Anolis sagrei: one gene and its partner. The protein of the gene in region 1 purifies or fractionates together with the protein of each later gene. This does not show direct contact. Links are inferred from orthologs where the notes say so. Each region holds a gene or a part of one and is shown on either strand. Other genes may lie near its edges.

Region 1 (8,051 bases):
GTGACCGATTTTCTTTTTTTTCCCCCACTCCCATGAAGCTTGGGAAAAGGACAAGGAAAGCAACTGAGAACAAGATCCAGAGTAAAACACACACACATATATATATAAAAGGCAACTTCATGCACTTTAGTCAACTCGGTGCCATTCAAACTCAGGCTTGTTTAGCTCGAAACTGAGATCCATTGTGATATTTTAATGAGAACAAAACACTTCCTTTGGATATATAGACCAGGCATCTTCAAACTGTCCCCCCCCCCCCCCCCCAGCTGTTTGGGCCTCTAACTCCCAGTAGCCCTAATGAGCTTGTTTAATTGTCAGGAATTCTGGGAGTTGAAGGCCCAAACAACTGGAGGGCCGCAGTTTGAGGATGCCTGGTATAGACGCACACATGTACTGCTACAGATGTGTGTGTATCTACACTAGGCATGGGCCAACTTGGGCCCTCCAGATGTTTTGTACTCCAGCTCCCACAATTCCTAACAGCCTCAGGCCCTTTCCTTTTCCCCCTCAGCTGCTTATGCGTTAGGCTGTTAGGAATTGTGGGAGCTGGAGTCCAAAACACCTGGAGGGCCCAAGTTGGCCCAGGCCTGATCTACACTGTAGAGTGGATGCAGTCTGACACTGCACTTCAAAGAGGGTGTCAAGCTACATACATTTTACAGTGTAGATCTCTACCTATAGCAAGGATTCCCATGTTTCACACTAAAAAAAAAATGAAAATAAAACCTCTGGCACTGCAAAGGCACTCAGCTGCCCAGACCCACGGGTGGTGAGGGTGGGGAGAGCGGGGCCAGCGAGTGACGCAGCTGCAGGACTTTCCGTGGGTTCTTTTGCTGAGGATCGAGGCTGGAGATTGCGGGCAGCCGTCTGTCAAAAGGCATTGTTCCCGCAGAGAGACTTTGCTAAGCCTGGGCCCTGTCCCCAGGTAGTCTAGACCTCCCGCACTGTCTACTGTCTCGTCCCTGGGGGAAAGGGGGGGGGGAGAGGAAGAAGAAAGGTTCTCCAAAGGACCGGCTCCGAAGGGGGCGGGGAGAGAGCAGGGAGGGGAAGAAAAACCCCTCAAAATGATGATGATAATGATACTAATACATTAATAATAATAATAATAATAATAATAATAATAAATTATTAAGTACCATATACAATAATATAATAAAAGTAGTAGTTATAATATAAATTATAATAAAAGTAGTACTAATATGCAACATAAAATAATAATATAATATATAATAAAAGTAGTAATAGAAAATACAATAATTGCAATAATAGAAAATATAATAAAAGTAGCAATATAAATATAATTATAATATAAATAAAAGTAGTAATAGAAAATACAATAATTATAATAATACAAAATATAATAAAAGTAGTAATAGAAAATATAATAAATATATATAATATAATACAAGTAAGTAATAGAAAATATAATAATTATAATGATATAAAATATAATAAAAGTAGTAATAGAAAATATAATAAAAATATAAAATATAATAAAAGTAGTAATAAAAATATAATAATTATAATAATATAAAAATGATAAAATAGAAAATATAATAATTATAATAAAAATATAATGGAAGTAATAATATAAATAGAATTATAGTAATATTAAATTAAATAAAAGGAGTCCTATAAATTACAATAATCATAACAGAAAATATAATAAAAGTAGTAATAGAAAAAATAATAGAAAATAATAAAAATAATAGAAAATATAATAATATAATAAAAGTAGTAATATAAATAGAATTATAATAATATAAAATAGACTAAAAGCAATCCTATAAAATACAATAAACATAATAGAAAATATAATAGAAGTAGTAATATAAGACTATAAGATAACATTAAATATAATAGTAATAGTTTGGTGAGGAACCAGCCTGCTTAGGTAGAGAAGGCGCAGAGGAATAACAGGAATCCCTGATTATGATTGTTGTTATGCTCGAAACCTTAGTTCTACCTTGCCAGAGCCATCCTTCAGTATACAGAGGGAGAATCCCATATACACAAAGCAGGGGGGGGGGGAGTGTAGAAGAACCCCCCCCCCCGCAACCCCATAGTGAAAGGGGGTGTTCCCCAAATCGGTGGTCACCCTTCTCCTTCTAATCCCGAATCCTTTCCAATTGCCGGGTTTGCTCCGTTTTAGATAGACTGTACCCCCGGTCTCTTCCTCCTCCTCCTCCTCCTCCTCTGCTTCGGATGGGAAAGAAAGGGCTTCTGCTGCGGCGGGGCTTACCTTCGTACATGGGGGCCATGGGTGCGAGGTTTGCCTGTTATTCATGGCCACGAAAGGCGACGCCAGCGAAGCAGGGTTGTCTCTGTGCCTGTGGGTTCTTCTCCTTCTCCTTCTTCTTCCAAAGGGGAGCCCCTTCCTCGCCTCCTTCTCCTCCTCCTCTTCTTCTTCTTCCTCCTCCTCCCGGGCCCCCCTCCTCCCTCCCCCGGCGTGGCAAAAAACTCAATCGCAATCTGCCATCTTGAGCCGACTCTGGGTCTCTCCGGAGAGGAGCCTCCTCCACCGCCGCCGCCGCGTCGCCCAGCCGCCTCCTGCCCGCATCCCTTTCTCTCCGCAGCCGCTCAAAGGGAAGGCAAGGCAAGGCAGGGCGAAGAAGGAGGAGGAGAAGCAGGAGGAGGGGGAGGAGGAGAGGTCAAGCGGAGGAGAAGGCACCTCTCCCCAGTCCCCTCCTCCCCAAACCACCGGGACCCCCTTCGGTCTTCAAGCAGGGGGGGAAGGAGAGGCAGCCACGAAAACGGGGTCTCTCTCAGCTCCGCATGCCGGTCCTGGCCGGGAGATGGCTGCAAAAGTTGCCGGAGAAGGGAGAGCAATGAGAGAACGAGGAGGAGGAGGAAAAGAGAGAGGGAGAAGGGGGGGGGGGGCAAGAGGGAAGGCACAGGGAGTTTGCAAATAATCAAGCGCCGATGGCACGGATCGCGGCTTCCCCGAAGGAAGGAGGGGAACAAAAGGGGGCGACGCGCGATCGTGGGGAAGGGACGACGCGTTTCGAGGAAGGAGAAGACAAGGAGGGAGGGGAGCCAAGCCCCGAGCCCGCCCCCCTCCGCCGGTAGCCAGGAAGGCAGGCAGGCAGGCAAGGAGGGAGGTGTGGCAGGGCTTGCTCGCTCGAGTTGTGGAAAACTTTCCCCAGGATCTACGCCAGGCACGGGCAAAACTTGGGCCCTCCCTCCAGGTGTTTTGGACTTCAGCTCCCACTATTGCTTAAACCGTCTCAATCATCCGCATCAAACCTGGTTGCAAGCACTTCATCACACCAGAGGAAAAAAATCCACTTAAAATCCGCTTTCTGCCTCCTGTAGAATTCTGGGGTTTGTAGTTTAGTGAGGCTGTTAAAGGTTCCTCCCTAAACTACAAACTCCAGAATTCTACAAGAGGCAGAAACCAGATTTTAAGTGGATTTTTTTTCTCTAGTGTGATGAGGGTTGGTTTGTGTGTGTGTCAGGAGCTACTTGATAAACTGCAAGTCGCTTCTGGTGTGAGAGAATTGGCCATCTGCAAGGCCAACCTAGCAATTTGAAAACATGCAAATGTGAGTAGATTAATAGGTACTGCTCCAGCGGGAAGGTAACAGCGCTCCATGCAGTCATGCCGGGCCACATGACCTTGGAGGTGTCTACAGACAATGCCAGCTCTTCAGCTTAGAAATGGAGATGAGCACCATACCCCGGAGTCAGACACAACTGGACTTAATATCAGGGGAATAACTTTACCTTTACCTAAGGACATTACCCAGGGGACACCAGGATGTTTTACCATCCTTGTGGGAGGCTTCTCTCATGTCCCTGCATGGGGAGCTGGAGCTGACAGAGGGAGCTCAACCGTGGTCTCCCCAGAATCCGAACCTCTAACCTGCCCCTCTTCAGTTCTGCCAGCACAAGGGTTTAACCTATTGCGCTACCCCACCAGGGGCTCCTCAAGTTTCCTAGTAAAGGCAAAGGTTTACCCCTGACATTAAATCCAGTGGTGTCCGACTCTTAGGGGTGGTGCTCATCTCCATTTCTAAGCCAAAGAGCCGGTGTTAACACCTCCAAGGTCATGACTGCATTGAGCGCCGTTACCTTCCTGCCAGAGCAGTACGTATTGATCTACTCACACTTGCATGTTTTCGGACTGCTAGGTTGGCAGAAGCTAGGGCTAACAGCAGAAGCTCACCCCACTCCCCTGATTCAAACCTGCAACCTTTTGGTCAGCAAGTTCAGCAGCTCAGCGCTTTAACCCACTGTGCCACCGGGGCTCTTATTGCTGCCTTATTGCACTGTCCCAATGGCTAGGTCCCACAGCCAAGTTTTTATCATCCTTCTAAAAGACAGGAGGGAAGGGACTGCTCAAATCTCACCAGGAAGGGAGTTCCAAAGTTGAGGGCCAATCACTGAGAAAGCCCTCTCTCTTGTCCCTACCAGTCACATGGCCTCCCCCGGAGGTTGGTTCATCAGATGCTCTGCTATGGCTGACTTCTCTGCTTGAAGTAATGTGCGGTGCCTTTCATCTTCCTTGATTCATGTTTGGCAATGCTGTGTTTGGTGGTCCCTATGTAGACTTGTCCACAGCTGCATGGTATACGGTAGACTCCTGCAGAGATGAGGGGATCCCTCTTGTCCTTTGCCAAATGTAGCATTTGTTGGATTTTCTTAGTGAGTCTGTAGATAGTTTGTAGGTTGTGTTTCTTCATCAGCTTCTGGGTTATTATATCTATTTGTACTTCCTTTCCTCTCTGGAACCAGACTCAAAGCCATAGTTTGAAGGCACTGCGAAGCTGGCCCTCCCTATGCGGGTTCTGCATCTACAGCTTGATAATGTTTTTTAAAATTCCAAAAAGCAAACCTGGTTGTGCCATTTTATATAACATATACTATTTACTATGCCATTGCATATAATGGGACTTGAACATCCTTTGATTTTGGTGTTCATGAGAAGTTCTGGAACCAAACTCTTGTAGATACCTACTGAGGGCCCAGCCATTTCCAGATTGAGCCTGACTTGGATTTTGGTATCTGCAGGAGTCCTGAGACTAAACCCCAGCAGACACACAGGGCCCACAGTGGCTCCTCCAAGAGCTCTAGGGTGCATCTACACTGGCCACTTCATGTGAAGGCATTTCAAAGAGGCAGTATTAAAATAATGCACAGCACAAACTTGTTTGAGAGGCCTTAAACTGGGATAAGCAAAATCCCTCCACAGGCCTTGTAAATTCAGCACCAAAGGAACTGCTTTGATTTAATATATACATCTGTAATAATATATCTATTTGTAATCTAATCTTCCTTTTTTCCTAAACTGCCTAAGCCAGGACTTTTCAACCAAGGTTCCCTGGAATAGTAAAATTCCACAAGAGGTCACATGTGATTTTGTGAGAGATCAGTACAGAATAATTCTGATTATCTATATCTGCAGTGATGCAACAGATTAAACCACTGAGCTGCTGAACTTGCTGCCCGAAAGGTTGGCAGTTCAAATCTGCTCATCAGTGGGTGAGCTCCCACTATTAGCCCCAGCTTCTGCCAACCTAGAAGCTTGAAAACATGCAAATGTGAGAAGTTCAACAGGCACTGCCTCGCAGGAAGGTAAATGGCACTCCATGCAGGTCATGCCAGCCACATGACCTAGGAGGTGTTTAAAGGCAATGGACAACCCAGGCTTTTTGGCTTAGAAATTGAAATGAGCACCGGTGATGAGCATCACCCCTCAGAGCTAGAATGGGAAGCCTTTACCTTTATTTGTGTTTCATTGTTTCTAGGCATTGAATGTTTAGCTTTGTGTTGTGTATACTGGACTCCACCCTGATTCTCCTTGGGGAGATAGGGCAGAATCTAACTCAAGTGTTGTTATTGTTGATGATGTTGTTGTTGTTGTAAATATAATAAATGGCTTAAATATCTTAAAGACCCCAAATCCGTTTGATCTTGGAACCTAAGCAGGGTTTGCCAAAGTGGATGGGATATTGCCAACAAATATTTAAGTGGAAGGAACTGGGAAAACCTATGGAATTTCAGGGGTCAACATAAGTTTATAAATGACTCTTTCTCTTTCTCTCTCTCTCTGTATGCCTTCAAATTACCTGCTGTCTTATAGTGACCTCATACATTTCATTGGGTTTTCTTTAACAAGGAATACGCAGAAGAGGTTTTGACAGTTCCTTCCTCTGAAATATATCCCACAGCACCTGGTATTTGCTGGCGGACTCCTATCCAAAACATAGCTGACCCTGCTTAGTTTATAAAGTCAGATGAGATCTAGTGCCTTTAGTGTGTTTGAAGGCACAGAGACATAAATATAATAATTTTTAGGCAAGGGTTCTCTGAGACCTCGGTATTATTTCACTGGTTTCTCCAGGGTAAAAAAAAAATTGGGAAGGCTGCTCTAAACAGCAAAAATGTCTGCTCGTGGTTGCAGAAATTCATTGCGTAACATATCTTATCAGTAATATTAGTTATAAAATATTTATTTTTGACCTTTCTTCACCCTATTACATTTCAGGATTTTAACAGTAGTACATCATATTCTTACGTCACACATTTTACAACACAGTATTTAGACATCAGCTAAGATAGACTCCTGATCCTTTATTCAAGTGCTCTGCATTTCTTTGTTTCACACAAACACAAACTTTGTGGGTCTTGTTTAAAGATAAGGAGTGCTGAGCTGCTGCCTCTTTTCTCCTCTTTAGTCTTTCCCCAAAAAACGGTGTGCTGTAAACAGTGTGTTTATGAATATGGTGAAATAAACCTATACTGTTGCTTTATGGAGCCCCTCCACTCCCACCTTAAAAAGAGCCACATCAGAAGCGTGTCTCTGGATTGAGTGTGACAGGCACGGGAGCCCCCTCCTGTGTTCATTTTAAGCGATCCATCTCTTTTGCTCAATTTCTGCCCTGGCACTGCCAGCTCTTTTCTTGTAACTTGTCTTCAGGGCATTTCCCTGGGGCTGTTGGCACAACCTGTCTGTTCCTCTCGCTTTCTATAGAACTTAATCTTATGGAGGTCTCAGAGTTTCATACAGCATTTTTTTTCCACAGTACATAAACTAGCCTCCCATTGACCTTATCCAGTTTCCCCAGTTTTTCATATGTGTGTGTGTGTGTGTGTGTGTGTGTGTAGCCCTTCTTCTGACCACTGAACAATCCAGGCCCAATGTTTATCTTTCCAGCCTTGGTGCCCAAGGTTTTTTTCTTTCTCTGCAACAATAAAAGCAAGCAAAATGCAAGAACACTGACCTTCTGTTAAATTCCACATTATAAGAATGTAATTTGAAAGAGCATGTGTTTCGACTAATACCAAAGAGTTTTCTAATACAAAATGAGTATGTTGAAACACATCCAGTAAAAAAGCAGTAATCACCGAACACACCCATATCATATGCCACGAGAAAACATTATCTGCTTTGCTTAGCCAACATTTGTTGTAGTAGATAGCTTCCTCTTTATAAAAAAGGGCACAATGGTGTACAGTATTTCTCAAACATCTATTTTTGTTCAACTTATTTATTTATTTACTAGCCGTCCCCTGCCATACGTTGCTGTGGCCCAGTCTGGTGATCTGGAAAATAGAGTAATGAGAAAGTGTTGCTTTCTAATATATGTAATTTCTTTATGCTTGTGGGTAAATGGTATTTCTTGCTGTTTCTTTGTCTGGTTTGCCTACTCTGGTACATGCAAGATATAATTGTCCTTCTTTAGGGGTCCCTTTTAAATGTATGATACTATATCTGTGTGTGAGAATCATATATATCTATCTATATCTATGGCTGGATGGCTCTTTGTCAGGAGGGCTTTGATTACATTTTCTTGCCCTGGTGAAGGGAGATGGACTGGATGGCCTTAAGTATTTTCTGTTGGTCATGGGGGTTTTGTGTGGGAAGTTTGCCCCAATTCTGTCAGTGGGGTTCAGAATGCTCTTTGATTGTAGGTGATCTATAAATCCCAGTAACTACAACTCCCAAATGTCAAGGTCTATTTTCCCCAAACTCCATCTGTGTTCATATTTGGGCATATGGAATATTCATGCCAAGTTTGGCCCAGACCCATCATTGTTTGAGTCCA
Region 2 (6,902 bases), on another chromosome or scaffold:
AGTAAAATAATAAATGTAATAAAAATAATAATAGAGTAAAATAATGGAAATGTAATAACAGTAATGAGAATAAAATAATAAATGTAATAATAACAATAATAAATAGAGTAAAATAATAAATGTAATAACAATAAAGAGTAAAATAATAAATGTAAGAACAACAATAATAGAGTAAAACAATAAATGTTATAATAACAATAAAGAGTAAAATAATAAATATAATAATAATAATAATAATAATAATAATAAATAGAGTAAAATAATAAATGCAATAAAAATAATACTAATAACAGAGTAAAATAGTAAATAACACTGACTCGAGTATAAGCCGAGGGGAGGTTTTTCAGCCTAAAAAGGGGGTTGAAAAACTAGGCTTATACTCGAGTATATTCAGTATTTTAAAGTCTGTGCTGATATCAATGTCACAGGTGACCAAAGTGCCTGTGTGAGAAATGCTGACTTATAATTTCATATTTTTTTATCCACTTGGAAATAAGCTTTACTAGGATCAATGAGATATTTCACTCCTATAAGTGGAAAGTCAACTAGGCTAGTGGTTGGAACATTGGGCTACAATTCTGGATTTGAATCTCCGCTTGACCTTTAAACCCAGTGAGTAATGCTGGACACATCACATTCTTTCAGCCTCAGAGGAAGGCCATGGCAAACCTCTTCTGAACGAATCTTACCAAGACAGTCCTGTAAAGGGGCTGCAACAAGTCAGAAACAACTTGAAGGCATATGGCAAGTGGAGTACAGGCAGTCCCCAAATGTACACTGAAGCTTTATCACCAATCCTTGTTCCACAGAGTTTTTGTTTTGGCCTGGAAAGTAAAAGCGATGACTGTTGTACTCCAGAACAGGGATAATCCTCTGACTTTAAACACCACACATTGAATAGGAAAAAAACAATCCTTTTATTAAAGATAAGTAAAAAGCAGCAAAGAAAAAAGCTCTTTAAAGAAATGTTGTTGTTGTTCATTCGTTCAGTCGTCTCCAACTCTTCGTGACCTCATGGACCAGCCCACGCCAGAGCTTCCTGTCGACTGTCACCACCCCCAGCTCCTTCAAGGTCAGTCCAGTCACTTCAAGGCTGCCATCCATCCATCTTGCCCGTGGTTGGCCCCTCTTCCTTTTACCTTCCACTTTCCCCAGCATAATTGTCTTCTCTAGGCTTTGCTGTCTCCTCATGATGTGGCCAAAGTACTTCAACTTTGTCTCTAATATCCTTCCCTCCAATGAGCAGTCGGGCTTTATTTCCTGGAGGATGGACTGGTTGGATCTTCTCGCAGTCCAAGGCACTCTCAGAACTTTCCTCCAACACCACAGTTCAAAAGCATCTATCTTCCTTCGCTCAGCCTTCCCTAAGGTCCAGCTCTCACATCCGTAGGTTACTACAGGGAATACCATGGCTTTGACTAGGCGGATCTTTGTTGCCAGTGTGATGTCTCTGCTCTTTACTATTTTATCGAGATTGGACATTGCTCTCCTCCCAAGAAGTAAGTGTCTTCTGATTTCCTGGCCACAGTCTGCATCTGCAGTAATCTTTGCACCTAGTAATACAAAGTCTGTCACGGCCTCCACATTTTCTCCCTCTATTTCCCAGTTGTCAATCATTCTTGTTGCCATAATCTTGGTTTTTTTTATGTTTAGCTGCAACCCGGCTTTTGTGCTTTCTTCTTTCACCTTGATTAGAAGGCTCCTCAGGTCCTCCTCACTTTCGGCCATCAGAGTGGTGTCATCTGCATATCTGAGGTTGTTAATGTTTCTTCCAGCAATTTTCACCCGAGCCTTGCATTTGTCAAGTCCCGCGCATCGCATGATGTGTTCTGCCTACAAGTTGAATAGTTGTTGTTGTTTTTGTTTTTTTGGGGGGGGGGGGTTGTCGTGTCAGGAGCAACCTGAGAAACTGAAAGTCGCTTCTGGTGTGAGAGACTTGGCCATCTGCAAGGACGTTGCCCAGAGGATGATTTGATGTTTTATCATCCTTGTGGGAGGCTTCTATCATGTCCCTGCATGAGGAGCTGGAGTTGATAGAGGGAGCTCATCTGCCTCTCCCCGAATTCGAACCTGCGACCTGTCGGTCTTCAGTCCTGCTGGCACAGGGGTTTAACCCACTACGCCACTGGGGGCTCCGTAGCTGTATAGGTTGGGTGAGAGTATACAGCCCTGCCGTACGCTTTTCCCAGTCTTGAATCAGTCTGTTGTTCCATGGTCAGTTCTTACTGTTGCTACTTGGTCTTTATTCAGGTCCCTCAGGAGACAGACAAGGTGATGTAGTATCCCCATACAATGTAAATTGGTAGAAAAGTGGGTAATGAACCATCTAGATTTGGTGGAGAAGGTGCTTGCAGTTCTGGAGGGACTCTAATTTTTCTTCTCATAGATTTGGCATGGAGATTTGTTTAACCAAGAAAAATTCATGGGAAATTTTTCAGGTGTGGTTTGAACCCCTAAAGCAGGGGTCCTCAAACGTTTTAAACAGAGGGCCATGTCAGAGTCCCTCAAACTGTTGGAGGGCCGGATTATAATTTGAAAAAAAAAAGAATGGATTCATATGCACACTGCACATATCTTATTTGTAGTGCAAAAAACACTTAAAAACAATGCAATAATTAAAATGAAGAACAATTTTAACAAATATAAACTTGTATTGTCGAAGGCTTTCATGGCCGGAATCACTGGGTTGTTGTAGGTTTTTTCAGGCTATATGGCCAGGAGAGAAATGCCTCTAGACCAGGGGTCCTCAAACTAAGGCCCGGGGGCCAGATGCGGCCCTCCAAGGTCATTTACCTGGCCCTCGCTCAGGGTCAACCTAAGTCTGAAACAACTTGAAAGCACAACACAACAATAACAATCCTGTAAATGCTCCCCTCTCATTCCTTTTATAACTTCCCAGTCGTCTGATATTTGTTATTAGCCGCCCCCTATTTTAGATTCATACATGCACTTTAAACTGTAAGTTTAGTCTGTTTTATCTTTTTAATTTGTCTCTTTTATAACATGTTTTTAGTCTGCTTTTAATCTGCTTTTATACTTACTTATCTACTTGGGAACTATACCTACTTTTATACCTACTATCTACTTGGGAACTGCGATTCCCTTCCTTGGGCACCGATGCCCCATTCTGTACTGTGCTGGTCAAAGACCGTAATAAATCATTGATTGATTGAATAACAATCCTATATCATCAGCCAAAAGCAGGTCCACACTTCCCACTGAAATAATAATAAGTTTATATTTGGTAAAATTGTTCTCCATGTTAATTATTGTATTGCTTTTAAGTGATTTTTTGCAGTACAAATAAAATATATTCAGTGTGCAAAGAAATTAATTCATTTTTTCAAGTTATACTCTGGCCCTCCAACAGTTTGAGGGACTGTGACCTGGCACTCTGTTTAAAAAGTTTGTGGACCCCTGATCTAGACCATGGCCATCTAGCCCGAAAAAACCTACAACAACCCAAATATAAACCTATTCGTATTTCAATGGCAAGTGCGGGCCTGCTTTTGGCTGATGAGATAGGATTGTTGTTGCTGTTGTGTGCCTTCAAGTTGTTTAAGACTTAGGTTGACCCTGAGCAGGGGCCGGGTAAATGACCTTGGAGGGCCATATCTGGCCCCCGGGTCTAAGTTTGAGGACCTCTGCCCTAAAGGCTTACTTGCTCTATGTTTTTCTCTATACATCTATCTACCTGTGGCTATGATATAGCCTGATTATTATTTTTTGTCAGAGGGGCGGGTTTTAATCAAGAGCGACAAGTATTCCCGCCAATAGCGTCGACGCTGCCGGGGAACCAATGAGCGGCGGAGCTTTGTGGAATGGCGTGGCGGGCAGCCAATGAGAGGGCCGGGCCCGAGTCGCAGTGGGCGAACGGCGACGGAGAGTAGTTGGCGGTCGCCGTTGTGTGCGAGGGAGAGGGAGAAGGGCCGCCGCCGCCGCTGCGGGAGGAGGAGGAGGAGGAGGAGGAGGCCTTCCCTCCCTCCCGCCATGTCGCTGCACGGGAAGCGCAAGGAGATCTACAAGTACGAGGCGCCATGGACCGTCTACGCCATGAACTGGAGCGTCAGGCCCGACAAGCGCTTCAGGCTGGCGCTCGGCAGCTTCGTGGAGGAATACAACAATAAAGTAGGCGGCGGAGAGCGGGGAGGGAGGAGGGAGGGAGGCCGCGGGTGAGGCGCCACGCAAGGCCGGAGGCCTGGCCCCTCTCCTGCCTGCCTGCCTGCTGCGGGAGGCCTCCCTCTGCTTCTCCTCAGGGAAAGGCAGAGGCTGGACCCCTTTTCCACAGCCACATCTCCCGCCGGGATTTGTAGTTCCGTGTGGCTGTCGATCTCTGCCAAATACCTCCCCAAACTACACATCCCATCACCGCGTAGGCCTTAGTGACAGTTGGGGCGCTTATTCCAAGCAGAAGGCTCCACAGGGCCCTTCCACACAGGCCTATAACCCAGAATATCAAGGCAGAAAATCCCACTGGGTTATCTGAGGCCCCTTCCACACAGCTGAATAAAATCCCACATTATCTGCTTTGAACTGGAATATATGGCGGTGTGGACTCAGATCTATATAAATAAAAATGTAATGTTCGTTTGTGGGATTAATATAACTCAAAAACCACTGGACGAAATGACACGAAATTTGGACACAAGTGACCATCACTCATTTAAAAAAAAACACACAGCAAAAGGGACTTATAAAGCCACCCCCCCCCCAAAATTACATTACAATGCATGCACAAAACCACACATCTCTGCCAATTACCTCCCCAAACTACACATCCCATCATCGCACAGGCCATAGTGACAGTTGGGGCATTTATTCCAAGCAGAAGGCTCCAGAGGGCCCTTCCACACAGCCATATAACCCAGAATATCAAGGCAGAAAATCCCACAATGTCTGCTTTGACCTGGTTATCTGAATAAAATCCGACATTATCTGCTTTGAGCTGGAATATATGGCGATGTGGACTCAGATAATCTAGGGCCCTTCCAGACAGGCCCTGTATCCCAGGATCTGATCCCAGGTTTTCTGTTTATCCCAGATTATCTGGTAGTGAGGACACATATAATCTATATAAATAAAAATGTAATGTTCAATGTATTGTCGAAGGCTTTCATGGCTGGAATCACTAGGTTCTTGTGGGTTTTTTCGGGCTATAGGGCCATGTTCTAGAGGCATTTCTCCTGACGTTAGGCGAAACATCAGGAGAAATGCCTCTAGAACAGCGTTTCTCAACCTGGGGGTCAGGACCCCTGGGTGGGTCGTGAGGCGGTGTCAGGGGGGTCGCCAAAAACCATTAGAAAACACAGTATTTTCTGTTGGTCATGGGGGTTCTGTGTGGGAAGTTTGGCCCAATTTTATCGTTGGTGGGGTTCAGAATGCTATTTGATTGAAGGTGAACTATAAATCCCAGCAACTACAACTCCCAAATGTCAAGGTCTAGTTTCCCCAAACTCCGCCAGTGTTCACATTTGGGCATATTGAGTATTTGTGCCAAGTTTGGTCCAGATCCAACATTGTTTGAGTCCACAGTACTCTCTGGATGTAGGTGAACTACAAGTCCCAAAAGTCAAGGTCAGTGCCCACCAAACCCTTCCAGTATTTTCTGTTAGTCATGGGAGTTCTGTGCATCAAAATTGGTTCAATTCCATCGTTGGTGGAGTTCAGAATGCTCTTTGATTGAAAATGAACTATAAATCCCAGCAACAACAACTCCCAAATGACAAAATCAACCGCCCACCCCAAATCCCACCAGTATTCAAATTTGGGCATATGGGTATTTGTGCCAAATGTGGTCCAGTGAATGAAATACATCCTGCATATCAGATATTTACATTATGATTCATAACAGGAGCAAAATTACAGTTATGAAGTAGCAATGACAATAACACTATGTTTGAGGGTCACCACAACATGAGGAACTGTATTAAGGGGTCGCGGCATCAGGCATCAGGAAGGTTGAGAAACACTGCTCTACAATATGGCCCTATAGCCCGAAAAAACCCACAAGAACCTAATGTAATGTTCGTTTGTGGGATTAATATAACTCAAAAACCACTGGACGAATTGACACCAAATTTGGAGACAAGACACCTATCAGGCCAATGAGTGACCATCATTCATTTAAAAAAAAAGACACAGCAAAAGGGACTTAAAAAGCAAAAAAAAAAAAAAACCCCAAAATTACATTACAATGCATGCACAAAACCACACATATATACGTAAACACACAAAACACATAGACACAGACTGGGCCACAGCAATGCGTGGTAGGGGACGGCTAGTCTATATAAATAAAAATGTAATGTTCGTTTGTGGGATTAACATAACTCAAAAACCACTGGGGGAATTGACACCAAATTTGGACACGATACACCCAGCAACCCTATATATGTCCTTCACTAAAAAAAAATTGATTTTGTCATTTGGGAGTTGCAGTTGCTGGGATTTATAGTTCAGCTACAATCAAAGAGCATTCTGAATCTCACCAACGATGGAATTGAACCAAACTTAGCACAAAGATCTCCCACAACCATCAGAAAATACTGGAAGGGTTTGGTGTTGTCCTTTGGTTTTGGAGTTGAAGTTCACCTACATCCAGAGATCACTGTGGACACAAACAATGATGGATCTGGACCAAACTCTACACGAATACTCGATATGCCCAAATGTGAACACTGGTGGAGTTTGGGGGAAATAGAATCTTGACATTCGGGAGTTGTAGTGGCTGGGATTTATAGTTCACCTACAATCACAGAGCATTCTGAACCCCACCAATGATGGAATTGAACCAAACTTAGCATACAGATCTCCCACGACCAACAGAAAATACTGGAAGGGTTTGGTGGGCAGTGTCCTTGGTTTTGGAGTTTAAGTTCACCTACATCCAGAGATCACTGTGG

Evidence for each region. The genes of interacting proteins can lie anywhere in the genome.
Region 2: the proteins of HIPK2 (region 1) and DCAF7 purify together in Homo sapiens (affinity purification with western blotting; 3 studies listed by BioGRID and IntAct, with this or other methods). This does not show direct contact. The link is inferred for Anolis sagrei from reciprocal best matches to the Homo sapiens genes HIPK2 and DCAF7.

What each region holds. Positions count from the first base shown.
Region 1 is NC_090025.1:172,262,939-172,270,989, reverse strand, and holds the start of HIPK2 (homeodomain-interacting protein kinase 2), read right to left. Parts: upstream 3,027-8,051; 5' UTR 2,262-3,026; coding exon 2,243-2,261; intron 1-2,242.
Region 2 is NC_090026.1:51,933,737-51,940,638, forward strand, and holds the start of DCAF7 (DDB1- and CUL4-associated factor 7), read left to right. Parts: upstream 1-3,854; 5' UTR 3,855-3,990; coding exon 3,991-4,128; intron 4,129-6,902. UniProt on the Homo sapiens protein: Involved in craniofacial development. Acts upstream of the EDN1 pathway and is required for formation of the upper jaw equivalent, the palatoquadrate. The activity required for EDN1 pathway function differs between the first and second arches.